2 linked regions of the Caenorhabditis elegans genome follow. The protein of the gene in region 2 interacts with the protein of the main gene of each other region in a pairwise test. Each region holds a gene or a part of one and is shown on either strand. Other genes may lie near its edges.

Region 1 (7,237 bases), on a different chromosome or scaffold from region 2:
ATTTTTAAATAACGTTTCAAACAATTGATAAATCCGGGCGGTTAGTTAATTACCAAAAGCAAAAATTGTCTAAAGTGTAAAAATGTAGGTATCTAGACTTACACTGGAAAAATTTTTGAAAATGTTTTAAAAACTCACTCTTCCATGGTTCTCTTCGCAGTCTCAATGTGCATTTGAAGATCAAAATTCGTGGCACGAAGTTGTTCAACTTCAGACAATACTTCGTTGACCTTTTTGTGAGCTGCATCTACTTCAACAGACATTTCTTCGATTTCTAAAAATTTTTGAATTCAATAAACAAGTTGAACATACCACAGTTTAGAAATTTCAAACCTGGTCGAAGACACCGTATTGGCAATTTTTTGCAAAAGTATTGATAAAATTAAAGACAACCTAGATATGTATAAACTGACTATAAAGATTCACGGGAAATGTGAGCAAGACAAACAAAAAACTAGGACAAACTGAAATCTTGGTTTGAAATGTTTTTGATTTAAGAGAAATTACGGTATATCATTAACAAATGATACAAGAAAGACTTACTATTCTGTGCTTCCATTCTACTCATTTCAACGTCTCTCTGGAAACGATTGTTACTAGCTTCTTCCGTCTTCTTCTTGTTCATTAGCTCCTTTTCAAGTACTTCCTTGGCTTCACGCAGTCGTTGGCCAACATCTCGTTCTGATTCCAAAGCTGATGAAATCTGTCGAATTCGTTCTTCTTGTTCAGCTAAACGGCGTTCACGTGTCTCATCAGCTCCTCCGTGCGACATTTCAAGCTCACAAAGACGAGCCATGAGTTGTTCGTTTTGCTCGACGAGAACACGACATTTCTTGTCTAGTGCCTTTGTTTTCAGACGGTCTTCTGAAAAAAAACTCGCATTTATATAAAATCCCAAATCTGGCGTTGCTGGTATTAAATTAAACCAACTATCATTTGATTATTTGAAAAAAAAATGAAACAAATTTCAGCTTGAAAAACATTTCGAAAACCAAAATTTATTTTCCCACTGGCATAATATTATTCGGTATATTCTTTCTATGTTTATAAGGTCAACACAACGATGAACACAAAATTTTGCTGATCAAAAGCAGCTGACTCTCTTTCTCTTCATTTTCCGTCTCCCAGTGTATGTTGACAATTGGTGGTGATCACATAAAGACCCCTCGACTTTCATTTTAATTTTAAATCGAAATACACATTGATTTTCTCTCATTTTCTCTACTAATACTTTTAAATTAATTTTACTGTATGTCTTTTAACACTTTTCTAATCAATTTGACACAATGATTTTGCCCCAATTTTTGTACGACTGGAATGTGGTGACAAGTGATTAGTCATGTTATAAAAACCTAGTTGTTATATAAATTGAATTCTATACATTTGAAAAATTTCACGAGGACAATAGAAAACTGCAGAAAACATTTTTTTAAAGCAGTTTTATACTCACATCAAGCAGATATTTTGATGTTGATGTGGTAGGCTCCTAAACACTCGTTTCCTAATTTTTTTAAAGTTCGAATTTCCTTTTAGTAGTACATTCTCATTTATATAATTTTGGAATTTGAACGATTCATCTTTTTTCTATGTTTTTTCTAAACAACCTTTTCATGAAAACGCATTCGAATGGCAATAAGTTCTGAGAAACATGCGTTTTCCTAGAAACTAGTCATGGTTTTGCGGTGGCGTGTTCCTCTCTGTTTCACTGACCAATTTATCATCAGACCTCTTGTATTGTCAACACAAAACAATGTTTCTCTAATTTCTCTATATGTCTGCCTGTCTGTCTGTATATCTGCGTGCCGTTTCTCTCTATGTCTATCTTTAGTTGATTGTGATACTTTAGGCGAAAACAGTGAGGTGGCAGTCGAGCGGATACTTTGTCCTTTCTCTCCCATCGATTATTGACACGCTGCGTCCCACATTAATTTTTTTTTGCATTATTGGAACACGATTCGATGTGGCAAGTGAGTTTAGGCATAATTTATTCTCATAAACGGAGAAGCACGTATGAGCTTCCAGATATGAAACTGCTGCACACCTTCTTCAAACACTTTTTAAAAAGTTTTTAAAGCTTAAATTTCAGATGTAAAACTTCAAAACCATCATGTCATCCACTACATCTTCTAATCTGTCATGTCCGGCTTGCACTCAGAAAAAAGTGAAAAGCCGTTTCAGTTGGCGAGCAATTTTATACGCAATTTTTTGCTTTCCGTGTGGAATCTACTGCTGCATGAAACGGAAAACATACTATTGCACACAATGTCAATGTGATGTGAGTTTTTTCTTTCAAAATAAAATTAGAAGGCTTAGTTCTTATGAAAATGAGAGCTTTAGTTATAATTTCTAAAGAAATGTATTGGTGTTCTGCAATAGCTAATGTCTTATCTCGTTTTTAATAAATCAAATGTTGCAGGTGGTTAAACGTACTGAAACCCGTGCTATTTTACCAAGAACTCCCGGATTGGGCTACAACTTCCGTTTGTACGAATCTACAAAAACGGCTCTTCCAGCTAGTTTTGCTGCATATCGTAATCCGGCAATGACAGCATCATCCACAGATTCTACAGTTTCCACCACACTATCAACTGCACCAATTGTGGATTAATTTTTTGAATTTTTGATTTCGCCAGGGTTTCAAAAGGGGTTTGTTACGTTTAAGTAATTTTCATAAGTAAATATTTCCGATTATTCTGATACTTGATCAGAAGTTTTAAATGATACTTATCCCATTTTTCTTTACAAAAAAGTCTCCTATCGTCTCACCATTTGATTTCTTGTCACTTTGCTCTTTTTCGCGTTCCAAAGCCAATAGTTTCGTCTCGAAAGCTTTTGATTTTATCAGTGCTCGATGATCGACCTGTAAATTATTTGAAATATTTTTCAGTTTCTTTTTCTGTTTGATTTTGGTCAATTAAACTACGGGTTTCAGTGTGATTAATTACATAACTTTGAAACGTATATTTCCAGAATTTTTCCGTTAATAAATATAATACTTTTTCTTTTTTATAGATATTTCAATTGACTTTTCTCTAGACTAGAAATTTCGAGATGTTAAAGATTTTCTTATGGAAAAAATGAGCTTCAACAGGAAATAAAAATCTTACCTGTGAAGCACCCAAATTCTCTCTCAAAAGTCCAATATGTTGCTCATAGATGACAATATCAGCTTCAAGAACTTCAATAAATCTATCCTGTGCTTGAATGGCATCCTTCAATCGGTCAATGTCCTCAAAAATAGCTTTTTTCTGACATTGATTGTAGTTGATAGCGGATTCAGCTTGAAGGAGATCTTCAACCATCAATTCCATCAGCTTTTTAGATTCGTCAACTTCTGAGCTCAAGGATCGTTTGGCTACTTCACTAGCATCTAACTCTGTTGTCAACTTGTGAACTTTTTCTTTCAAATGAGCAACTTGATCACGAAGAAGAGCATTTTGTTCTATTTCCCAATTTCGAGAAGATCGGAGAGTGTCAACTTCTTCTTGAAGACGATCCCTCTGAAAATTGGAAACGTTTCTATACAAAATGATATATTCATCTATTTCACTTACCTCATCTTCATATTTTCCATTGATATCTTCAAGTGTAGTTTCCAACTCCTTGATTCTTGCAGTCGCCGCAACCTTTGCCTTGAGTCCAGCAGTTTTTGCCTCTTTTGTGTATTTGAGAATTTCAGATTCATAGTCTGCTTTCATTTTTTCAACAGATGAGTTTAGTTCGATAACTTGCTGACGGAGTAAAGCATTTTCAGATGAAGCTTCTGTTAAAGCAGACTCGAGAGCGTCTGAAGTTGAAGAAGACATTGAAATGGTGGGATAGCGGGAAACAGATGTAGATGGAAAATTGGAAGATGTTGATGTTCCAATTGAAGAACCATTTGGATTTAAATCAAAAGTTACACGTTTTCTTTGATGTTTCCTATGGATTCCGTCAATATCTGGAAGAGCGCTCAGTTTGCTAGATGGATCAAATGGAGGATCCAATGGTGGAGGAGAGAAGGTTCCCGATGAACTTGAGACCATCGTTTCTGAAAAATAGATCAATTCAATTCCGTTAAACTTTAAAAAAAAGTTTTATATCGTCACAATTTTCAATTTCTAGCCGTGTGCTCAATTTTCGAGCTTATTTTCAAGAAAAAGAGGAGCATACAAATTACTTGGGCAAGCTACCTTTAGATTACTGTAGGTTACAGTTGTCCTAACACGTCTAAGATCAGCAATTTTCCTGTTTGGGAATAATAAAAAAATTCTAAAAATAAAACTGAACGTCATATATATTCAGAAATGGTGCATGACAACTTCATTTTTTTTTAACCAAAAAACTTTACTCACTTCTCTGTGCAATGACATGACCTGGAGATGAACTTCTTGCTCTCCGTTCACTCTTTGAATTTGATAATGGTACTGAGGAATGAGCCATCAAAGAAGGCTCAGTTTCTGTCGACATATCCTTCTTGTCTCTATTCATTTCTTCAAATTTTTGTTGAACAATTCTCATTGCTTGATTTTTGACTGAAGCAACTTCATTGTGCTCACGAACTCTTTCCTAAATACAACTCCAATATGAAACCACAGAAACAGAATAATTCTCACCTGTAAGTCCAAAATTTGCCTTTCTTTATCCAATATCACATTATTTAAATCTATAATTCGGTTATCCTTATACACCAGTTGTTGATGAACCCGTTCATCGATCCGTTTGTCGGCCGATTTTTCTTTTTCTTTGGAGGTTTTGTCCTCCATTTCTGAAAAGTATTATATTTGTATTTAACGTATTTAAAAAGTGACAGTATACTTCAAGGACGTGAAGAAACAATGAGAAGAAAAGAAATTTGAAAATTATAGTTTAAAAAAAGGGATGACGTAAAATTATTCAAAAACTTTTTAAATAATTTGTAAATCCAGAATAAATTTTCTGCGAGAGATTGGAGAGAGAAACAGAGAAACCCCGTTCCACGTAACGGAGAGGCGCTGAACCCACGTGGAAAGCTCACATTTTAATCTCACGCAATAATATGCGTCTCACGTTTTTTTTTCAAAAAGTTTTCCGAACACATCCTTTTTTTTCTAAAATTTTTTAATCTTCCGACACTACTTGAGAAGTCTTATAATGGATGAAAAATCGTTTTTTAAAGTTAATAAACTGATTAGGTATAAGGAGCATGCCAAAAATATATTCACTTTCAGTTTTTTGATAATGTTGCAAATTATTCAAAAGTATAACTCGTAACCTAGTTATCAGAAGTATAACTAACAAAATATTTATTTTTGTATTTAAAGGTTGCTGAAGTAAAATAATTTTCATTTACTGTTTCATTTTTTAACTATAATAATAATATACTCTAGAAATTCCGCTTTTTTTGGTACTAGTGAATATAATTAACTTATTTGAACAAGTATACAAAAGTAAAAATAATTTGCTTCTGAATTAGCTTCTGAATTAGTTTCGGAAATAGTTTCGGAATTCATTTTAATCATTCTCAACAATATCAAAAACCAAAAAAGGTTGCTTCTTTGGCTAGCACTGTGAATTAATACAGCAATTTAAATATAGGTTATATAACTAAATTTGAAACATAAGGAAGAATATATGAAACGACTTAAAACAGTTACAAATCTACGTGCAATTTAATTCCTGAAGAATCAAAAATGAAGTTTTAACACGAAATTCTACAAAAAACTGGTTCGAATTAGTTCCTTTCGAGAGACACGTCGACCAACACGGCACCCGCGTTATTGATTTTCTGCTGACGCACATTCGTTTGCGGTGGCGCATTTCACTTTCGCGGTGACCATTGACATAGTGTATGGGCCAAATAATGGGAGAGCTCGGTGAAATATTAGTGACATTAAATACGGATATTAATTACAAAAAAGAAATCGATGGTAAAAATAACCAAATGACTATTTTGGCATGAAAAAACATGACTTTTCAATTTTTATTTTCTGTTTTGGAACTCTTCATGTAGGCCATTTTAAATCATTAGTTTTCTGTGCGGTGTGTATTCAGAAAAGTTAAAGTAAGCATTGAAAACTGTGAACAAAACGTTATAAGAACACGTCTCATTGTCTGTCAGTACATGAGAGCACGATGTAAAAAAGCAAAGCACACAACTGATATTTTTGTTAAAATAATTTCTGTCTTACTAAAGTTTTTGGGTCAAGATAGATCAAACAGCATCGAGAAGAAAATTTACTAAGTTTGGTAACCCATGAAACACAGTTCTCTTTCTATTTTCAAAAGGCATTTGTGTCTATTAAGCTCATCAGTTCTTCTGAAAAATCAGCATTACTGATAGCATAAATTCTAGGCTTTTCAGGTCATTGTAATAATTCGATAAACCATTCCAAATTTCGAACTAGGAGCATTTTTAAGAATATTGTTTCTTTATACTAAAACTAATAAATATTTTGTACAGAATAATTGTGTATCTATGGAATCGTTATTCTTGCTGCGTAATTACTAGTGACGAAATTTTCTTGTTCTGAATTAGTTATTTTCTCTGAAGTTGAACAAAAAAACACATTAAATTGATGAATAGAGAATATTTTATTGTTGAATTTCTCATAAAATTTAACGGCGAGTTCCGTCCTCGAAGAAGACTCCTCCGTCGATGGCGCAGTACTTTGGACAGATTCCCTTCTCTCCGGCACCTCCGGAAGTTCCAGCTTGTCCTGGGGCTCCTGGGTTTCCGTCGGCTCCTGGGGCTCCTGGGTTTCCATTTGGTCCCTTTGGTCCTGGGGCTCCTGGTTGTCCATCGTGTCCTGGCTGTCCTGGGGCTCCTGGTGGTCCTTGTGGTCCGGCTGGTCCAGCTGGTCCTGGTGCTCCTGGTGTAATTGGCTCGGATGGAGCGTCTTGTCCTGGCTGTCCTGGGGCTCCTGGGGCTCCTGGGTTTCCGTTTGGTCCAGATGGTCCCTTGTTTCCTGGGGCTCCTGGTTGTCCGTCGTTTCCTGGGGCTCCTGGGTTTCCGTTGGCTCCGGCATCTCCGGCTGGTCCTGCTGGTCCTGGGGCTCCAGCTGGTCCGGCTGGGCATGGCTTGCATGGTGGTGGGGTAATTGGCTCACATGGTTGCTGTGGTGGGCGTCCTGGGTTTCCTGGAAGTCCTGGTGCTCCTGGCTTTCCTGGGCGTCCTGGCTTTCCTGGGGTTCCAGCTGGTCCAGCGGCTCCTGGAAGGCAGCAAGCGTCGCAACCTCCAGCAGAGGCAGATCCTCCGGTGACTCCAGCATCATATCCA
Region 2 (8,947 bases):
CTATTCGTTATTTTTAAAACGATAATTAAAGTTTTGCCAAAATTTCTGCACATTCCCCCTTTTCTCTCACACACACACCCACCTCCCCCTTTCATATTTGGTGTGTTTTCGGTCAGTTTTCACCATTGTTCCGGTCAAATCTCTGTTAGTCTTGCTTTTTTTCCAATTTTTTTTTGGAAAAATGTTGAATACATCGAGAGGAAGCGAAAAATATAATTTTTTTCCAAAAAAGGTGGATAATCGTATCAAAAATCGAAAAATGAACATTTATCTTGAACAATTTGCATTTTTCCATAAAATTCACAAACTTTCCACTATCGTTTCGGTTTTTATGTTAAATTTAGAGTTAATAGAATGATTCAAAATGGAATCTCAAATCACAGCTCTATCCGATCATTTTTCGCGGAGATAGGTTATTTAGTTTTTGCACATGGAAATCCAGTTTTCCTCTGTTCCTGGACAAGTTTTCTACTATGCTTTTGATTTTATTTTCTAATTTTGATAATTTTCACTAAAGAAAGGTAGACAATCTAAATTTGGTCGGCTATGACAACTTTCAGTTGACTAGTCTTTTGGATTATTTGAACGGATTGTTTTCAATCGATCATGTCGATTTGGCAATTGACCATGATCAACTTTTTGGGGAGTTCAAATCTGCTTTGAGCCACCCTTTGTTTCGGAAATGCCATTTTCTAAAACTTCTCGGACATTCGTACTTTGGCACTGAAGATATGGAATTTATATTGAAGAATTTCGATTCGAAATATGGATTCCTGACTTATTGTTTACACAAGGACAAGATTGATAGAAAGCTGGTAAGTTGAAAATATCTTTGCTGAATTATGAGCATATTCACATTTAAGTGGGCCAATATTCCACGATTGGACATCGAAAAAGGCCCAGGATTAACACTAGACGATTTGAAAATGATGGATTGCGAGAAAATGAGATTTTATGATCTCAATACAGTCTCGGCAACAAAACGGAATAAGTAAATTCATTACTGGCTGGCCGGGAATTCGCCGAAACTGAGAAGACTTCAATTGAACTACTGGTGGCATAATTGGACGGGCGAATTATTGAAAGGTTTATCATATTCCAAATGGAATCCAAAACGTAGAGCAAGAATCTTCTGGTATGTTTAATTAAGGTCTTTTCCAAATAATAACTTTCTGGAATTTTCAAGTCATAAAAATGGAGGGAATCATTCTGATATGCATTATTCTTGCTTAAAATCTAGGGGAAAACAGGGAAAAAATAAAAAGAAAAACTACACTTTAAAACCACATAAGCTAAGTCGAAACTTAAGCTTTCTAAGCCGACACCTGATTTCAATTTTAATGCTTAGCCTAACCTGAACCTAAGCCCAAGCCTTACACTTAACCGGAACATATGTCTAAACTTAAGCCTGCCAGTTGAAAATTCAGTTTTTTTTAAATTGTCGTTTCAGTGATGATCTTGAATTTGTGGATTGCACATATGGACTCGATATTGAGAGAAGTGATGGTCTACTCGAAACTATTCTAATCGAAAACTTTGCTATGTACTTTCTCGTATGGCATGACAGATTTCCACAGGATCCCCGAACATTGTTTCACTTCTCGAAATCTGTTTCAATTCCAATTACAACTTATTAAAAGCATTCGTTTTTCTATGTTCGAAAGTTTTGAGATATAATGCACTTTTTTATTAGACATTCAAAAACTGAACTAAATAAATTCTGATAAAAGTTTTCTTTGTTACTTGAACTGAGTATTTGTCTTAATGTAAAAGTACTGTTAAGTCATCCATGTGAGAAAGGTTCATTCCCGAGAAAAAATGTCGGCGACAAAATATCAAGAAAAAGATGTTATCAAGAAAAGGAACTGTGTTTTAAAAGTTTTAAATATACCCGAGAGATGGGTATATGAATCAAGTACTACAGAAAAACATGATAAAAGAGCATTGTCAAAAAAGTGATGCGAAATGGGGAGTTTTAACAGGAAAGGAATGGAAATTAGCCCAGAGGATGTGAGCAACACGAAATGTGCTCTACGCAAAGTTTCAGTTTTTGGAAAGGTTGAAATGTTTGAAAGAGATTTTGTTAAGTTCATGAAAGAGATAACAAGTTTTCAAAGGAGACAATGAAATGTTGACAAAATTGAGTGAATGAGAAAAAAACGTACAGAAAACACAAAAAATTGTTGAAAACAAAATCATCTTATTTCGTATTTGTCAGCGCTTCTGTTCGTATCATAAGATCGTTCCAAGCTTCCCGACACGTAGTATGACGCAAATTGTATGAAGTTGGCTTGTAATTCTTCTTCCTCATCAACTGTCGGAAGTTCTTCCCCTCTACGTGGAGGCGTCAGTTGGACCGGCATTGATGTGAACTCCTGAGTATATGTTAATATCATTTTTGAATCATTGGTTCTCTTATTTCTAGAAACTATGAAAACTGTTATGAAAATTGGAAAATCCTAGTCATTAAACAAAGTGTTGTTTGTGTTTCAGTATCAGTAAAAAAACTAAATGAAATCTTATGTACGTTGGCATACATTTTTTTAAAACTGTACTAAAAATAACAACACTTTGCCCTAATTGTAAATCGTTTACTCTAAAAATTACTCATATTGCTTCTGAAACTTTCAAAAGAATTGAAACGTAACGTACTCTGTCAAAGAAACTCGTGTCCGTTTCAGACATCACATTTGGCTTAAATGGAGGTTCGACTTCTTTTCTTAATGTTGCTTCCCAATCCACATCTTTGAAAAATTCAGCTCTCGAAACTTCACGTGCATCATCAGGACCGGCACCAAGCCGCTTAGCTGGGACCCTTTCGAGTAGTCCAGATAGTAATGTTACGGCTTCTGGGCTTAACCTATTCGGGAACTTCAAATCACATGTCGTAATTAGTTCGAAGAGTTTGCCGTTCTCCTTTGCTGAAAATGGAAGCCGTCCACACATCATTTCGTACATGACCACTCCGACTCCCCACCAGTCAACACTACGGTCATAGTCGATGTCTTCGATAACCTGAAACAATAGACTAATAACTTGACGCGAGAATTGAAAGGCTTTACCTCTGGTGCAAGGTATTCTGGTGTTCCGCAAAAGGTGCTTGTTTTATCTCCATATTTGATTTCCTCTTTGCACAACCCAAAGTCAGTGATTTTGATGTGACCATCTCTGTCGAGAAGCAAATTTTCGAGCTGAAAAAACAATGGAAAAAACAATGAAAAAACATCAAAGTTGTGAAATTCAAAAATTTCTGACAAATACTTCAAGTTGTGATAACCCCTCTCAAAAAGCTTCTACTTACTTTCATATCACGATACACAATATTTCTGTGATGAAGGTATCCAAGAGCAAGTATGATTTCCGATCCATAAAATCTTGTTCGTGCTTCGCTGAATGTTTTGCACCTCTGAAGATGGGTGAACAGCTCGCCACCATTTGCAAACTCCATCACAAAACAGATGTGATATTGTGCTTGGAAACTGTATTTAAGTAGCTGAAAAAATATATTTGTGGCACTGTGTCAACAACTGGGGAATTCAAATATTTTAAATAATTGTAAGTAAGATATATTTGTAAAGTTATGGCAATCGATAAATTTATAGGAAATATGTATTTCAGAGTTTCTTAGAGAAAAAAAATATGGTTCCACGGAAACGCCCGCCCTACTTCGGCACGCCCATGCGCCAGCATTATCACACTCTGTGTACTGCTGCCGACGCCGCGCAGGACCTCGCGCCACTATAGCTACGTGCAACAGAGAAAGGCGATGTTGTGAGGGCGGCGGGAGTGTGGGGCGTATTGTGGTGCTGGCGGGCGAGAGTAGCGCCATCGTTGAAATCCTAGTGTGCATTTATCCGTCTCTCTAAACATGATTTTTTCACGAAAAAAATCATCTACTTCAATTTTCACTGACATCTGCCAACATTGTACACCGACTCAATATTTTTTCGACCAATAAGCATACCGTGAGAAAAGGGTGAACGCAAGCATACAGAACTCGATTTTCAGTCAAAGTGTGGGCCACCTCAGAACGATCAACGACCATTTCTTTTCTGATAATCTTAATGGCGTAGAGCTTATCAGAACTTTTCTCCCTGCACAAAATAACTTTTCCGAAGGTTCCTTGACCGAGAACTTTGAGGAAGTCAAAATCGTCCATCGTCTGCAAAATTAAATAACTACATACATTTAAGAAATAATAGAGATACAAAGCAAAACTTGAATTTTTAGCGGAAAATCAGAAAAAAAAGTTTCGCTCAACCTGTCAACCAAAAAAAACTTGTTGCGCCTTTCGAGTTAATCATTTTTACTCAAAAAACTTTCTTTAAAAACCTCTTATTTCCACATATCAATACGTGGATTTGTTGGCAGGATTTTGAAACTTACCACTGTATTTTTTCTTGGAACTTCCTCTGGTTCGTCGATATTCATTACAGTTGACTCAAAATCATTATCCGAACGGGTGCTTGTTGCGTCCATGTTCACATCACTTTCTCCAGACGGATTCTAAAAAATTTCATGAAAATTTTGAATCTCTTTACTTTCATACTCCATTAGTATCTTCCTCCTGCATGCTGGTATTTCCTGCATTTTCTTTCAAACGATTGTGACTGGATACAGCTTGAATTGCTTCAATCCACATCTGACGGAAGTCGGCGCTATCCGCATAAAATGTGCGTTCAATGACAGTGGTCCATTGGAGACATCGCACGATAAACATATTTGGTCGAGGTTTGTCAAGGCAAACCGTCTGAAATAAAGCATTTTGGTAGTTGCGGTTTTCAATATGGAAACTGCCTACTGGCAATTACTTAAAAACTTATTTGAAGTTCAGCTAAGGTTTTCAAATTTTTACTAAAGAGGGATTTCTACATATGTATATTACTGGGGTACTAACTTTCTGCTTAAAGGTGGAGTAGAGCCAGGGAAGATTTTGTTCAAACACATTTTTAATAATCCAAAATGTCCGAATATCATAATGAAGCATTCCAATAAATTTTAGATTTTTCATAATTTCCGGTCAAAGTTTTGGCAAATTGCCAAAGTTTTGAAAAGTATGAGTTTTTGAAGAAATCGAAAGCAATGTCGAATGTTCCGACCAGGGGTGTGCGGCAAATTTCGAAATTTGCCGCACACGTCAAAAATTTGACAGTACAATTTTGACTAAAACTGTTGATTTTTTCGCCAAAAATTTAGTAAAATGACAACAAATTGAGTTATTTTGATGTTTAAGCAGACACACTACATCTAACTTGTTCAGAAACCAGAGGTGTGTTAAGAATTCAGTAGTTTCGGTGCTCCAAAAAATATCAAAAAATATATAATTTTTCCGATTTTGTTAAGCACGGCAAATTTGCCGAATTGGCCGTGCTCGGCAAATAATGGAAAAATAGATTTGCCGAATTTGCCGAGCTCGGTAAATTTTGAGATTTGCCGCACACCCCTGGTTCCGACCCTTACAATGTTTCAATGGATATAATTAAAACAGATATACAGTATAAAAAATGTTGGAAAAAATTCTTTTTGTCGACTTCCAAAATAATGGGTGGCAAAAACTTAGTAAATTGTCTGGCGCTACTCCACCTTTAAAAGCAACGATTTTGAAAACTTTCTAGTAACCATCTACAGGTTCAAAAACTTACCGCTGCGTCTCTAATCATAAAATTATTCAGTGGCTCTGGTAACGGCTGATCTTCCTTTGGCTTTGACCGGAATCCAAGCAACGTTCCATCTCGAAACAAGATGAAGTACCTAAAATACTGACATCTTAGGATTTAATTTTCATTTATTTCCAAATTAGTTTTGGTTTCCTGTTGGAAGATTTTCATTTCCAATTCAGTGCAATTAAAGTGAAAACTTTTTGAATATCTTTTCATAAGGGACAGTAGCTATGAAACTTAAAACTACTGTACTAGATTGGATACATAGGCCTGGTAAAACAATGAAAAACTTACCTGGGGCGCCAATTACGAATGTGCTCTCCTTTCTTGTGAAGCCAACTTTCAATAACAATGTCTTCTTTTTGTAGATGGGCGTTTTCAGTAGACATTTTTACGCTGTAAATAGTGATAATTCTTTCAGAGATTTTGTTTTAAAAAAGAAAAATACGTCGTTAAAAAAATACAATTAAAAGGTAGTTTTAAATTATGGTATTTATGTACTATACCTGCCCCAAAAATGGAAAACCACGTGTCCCACTACGGTGTGATCTACAAAAAATGCGGGACTTTTTAGCCACAAAAATGTGACGTCAGCACGTTCTTAACCATGCAAAATTAGTTGAGAGCTCTGCGTCTCTTCTCCCGCATTTTTTGTAGATCTACGTAGATCAAGCCGAAATTAGACATTCTGACACCACGTGGAAACCCTATTGGCAAAAATTTTTAGGGCAGATATACTACACGAGCACTTAAATATTACAACTTTTCCATTACATCTTAAAAATTTACAAACATAGTTTGAACTTCATGGTTATGAAACATTTATAACAATTTAGTTTTAATTGATCATATTTTCAATAAGGCTTTGAAGTTTAATTTTTTTAATTCAACACTAATTAGGTTCTACGACAATTTTTCCTCCAAAAAAAAATCTAACGAACTAAGAATTCATAGCTTTGATAAAACACGAAAAAAAAAAGAAGAAAATAGTCGTTGGCTACGAAAGACTATGGGAAAAACAAACACCCCTAGTGACGTATTGTGGCAAACAGAGGAAAAGGACAGAAGGAAAAGATTGCAGACAAAACTTGAGCGGAGAAGCAGAGAAACGCCGGCAAGAGAGATGAGAGAGAAATAGAGATAGCAGCGAAGAGAGGGGATGTGACCTTTTTTGCTGCGGCAGGAAAAAGGACGAAAACAACTTCAGACACTATTTCTCCCCCCGTCAACAGCATCACGAGAAAGGTTGCGTTTGAATATTGATTTTTTTGGAAAGCGAGATTTGTTTTCAAAAAAAAAAAGAAGAAAATTCTGGAATAATGAAATATGAGAAACATGTGCGTGAAACTAAACATTTTCAAATAACGAGGGAATGTGAATTCTGGTGGATCAAGTATAAAGCAAAATTATTTTATGTACGCAATACGTTGCTCACAATTTAATAACATTTAGTAACTTGTTTTCTCTTCAAAACAAATTATTATTCGAATTTAACTTGGGGAAAATTATATAAACCACCTTAAACAAAGATTCAAGTGACTGTATTATTGTTTTGTAATATCATAAATGCGTTATAATGAAATTTCCACTGACACGTGGTGTCAAATTGTCTCAGTTCTGTTTGATCTACGTAGATCTACAAAATTCGCGGGAATTTAGACGCAGACATTTCAACTGAATGCGCATGGCTAAGAGTGTGCTGACGTCATATTTTTTGGGGGAAAAAATTCCCGCATGTTTTGTAGATCAGACCGTGATGGGACTGCCTGCCACCACGTGCACAAGAGCTACTCCACCTTTGCTGCAAATCTCTATTCTTTTGGTTAACTGAACAAAAAGTTTAAGCAGAAAGAGGCGTATTTCACTGGAAGTAGAAGTGTGATGTTATATACAATTTTAGTTATTTAAAGCGGAATAATTTAACGAGGTATTCCTGTGAATTTTGACTGTAGGCGTTCGTCTACTTATTTCCGCCGTTCCGTGCAATTTTAGTAAAAATCTATAATTTTGAAATCTCTAAAATAAAAATGAATTTCAAAAATGTATAATATTTCCTAACGTCTAGTGGAACTACATAGGTAACTTTTTGTCTGGAGTAAAATGGGCATGGTGTTGAAACAGTGAAATATGTGATTTCCTTGTGATATTTGTTGTATGACAACCGTCTTACTTTGAAAAAACCAACGAAGCAAAAAAAGCATGCGGTCGGAAGAAAGTGGTAAACAACTTGCCAAGTGAAAAATGCATCCAAAACCACAAGATGATAAGACAACCGACAAACAAAAAACACAACATAAACTGTAAAATGCCGGTTTTTTAAGTGTCGCAAGACATTAAATAACAAATTTTTGAAGTTTCGCAACTCTCTTTTTCTATATTGTTTACCAGATGTGCAGTTTTTTTTCTTTTATAATAATATGAACTACTAAAAACAAAGAATATACATTTTAGAGATTCCGAAAAAACGACAAAAAAAACCGAAAACGTGGGATTTGATCTCTGAAAATCCACAAACAAGCATGTCAACAACGTCTATTATTCAGTTGTTTTTTGGTGTGTAGTCCTTTATATAGAACAAGGACACCACAAAAACAGAAACGTGCAAAATATAAAAAAAAAGACATATTAATTACTCGTTCTTCTCGCAGTGGACAGATATGAATTTTTATTCGAATATACTGCTATTTTGTATATTTTGTCTGCATTGTTGTTATTAGGCCTGTGGAGTGGGTCGCCCCATTTTTTTTGGGTCGGCCGGGTTGGGGTCGCGTCCCCGACCCATTTTTTGGGTCGGGGTTGCGGCCCCGACCCACTTTTTGGGTCGGGGTCATGTCCCCGACCCATTTTTTTCAAAATTTAACAGAAAGTTATCAAAAACTTGAAAAACTATTTTTTGTCAAAAAACACGTGTAAAAGCTGAAAATTATAAAATTATCGTATTTTCATCAATTAAAAAAACATATCCTATTTTCGATACAAACAAGCATAAGAGTCAACGTTTAAACACGATTTACAACAAAACAAACTTTTTTTTTCAATTTCAGACATTTTCCGAAAATGGGTCGGGGACGCGACCCCGACCCAAAATTGGGTCGCGGGTCGACCCATCTCGACCCATTCAACAGGCCTAGTTGTTATTAGCTTACAGTTTCAATCGGTAGGCACTCAATTTTTGGTATATTTGGAAGCCGATTATCCGAAAATGCACGTAAAAACACGGAATAAACAATTTAAATTAAATAGAAAGTATCAATTAAAAATATTAACAGCGCATTTCAAAAATATTA

The links. Proteins that work in one complex are often made in the same cells at the same time.
Region 1: the proteins of akt-2 (region 2) and T28C6.7 interact in a two-hybrid assay, tested with the Caenorhabditis elegans proteins (one large-scale study listed by BioGRID).

Annotation. Positions count from the first base shown.
Region 1 is NC_003282.8:8,825,312-8,832,548, reverse strand, and holds the start of T28C6.7 (Kinesin motor domain-containing protein), read right to left. Parts: upstream 4,746-7,237; coding exon 4,596-4,745; intron 4,549-4,595; coding exon 4,335-4,548; intron 4,031-4,334; coding exon 3,555-4,030; intron 3,501-3,554; coding exon 3,108-3,500; intron 3,001-3,107; exon of another isoform or gene 2,861-3,000; coding exon 2,767-2,860; exon of another isoform or gene 2,609-2,766; coding exon of another isoform or gene 2,417-2,608; intron 2,276-2,416; coding exon of another isoform or gene 2,108-2,275; exon of another isoform or gene 2,087-2,107; intron 1,968-2,086; exon of another isoform or gene 1,822-1,967; intron 865-1,821; coding exon 544-864; intron 275-543; coding exon 139-274; intron 1-138. Other genes in the region: T28C6.8 (Membrane protein BRI3), read left to right, coding at 2,108-2,275, 2,417-2,608; col-3 (Nematode cuticle collagen N-terminal domain-containing protein), read right to left, coding at 6,577-7,237.
Region 2 is NC_003284.9:14,144,809-14,153,755, reverse strand, and holds akt-2 (Serine/threonine-protein kinase akt-2), read right to left. Parts: upstream 6,057-8,947; 5' UTR 6,050-6,056; coding exon 5,955-6,049; intron 5,752-5,954; coding exon 5,643-5,751; intron 4,751-5,642; coding exon 4,550-4,750; intron 4,507-4,549; coding exon 4,387-4,506; intron 4,163-4,386; coding exon 3,965-4,162; intron 3,494-3,964; coding exon 3,302-3,493; intron 3,192-3,301; coding exon 3,063-3,191; intron 3,016-3,062; coding exon 2,653-3,015; coding exon of another isoform or gene 2,608-2,652; exon of another isoform or gene 2,376-2,607; coding exon 2,196-2,375; 3' UTR 1,788-2,195; downstream 1-1,787. UniProt on the Caenorhabditis elegans protein: Acts downstream of PI3 kinase age-1 and kinase pdk-1 in the daf-2/insulin receptor-like transduction pathway. Essential role in regulating developmental arrest at the dauer stage.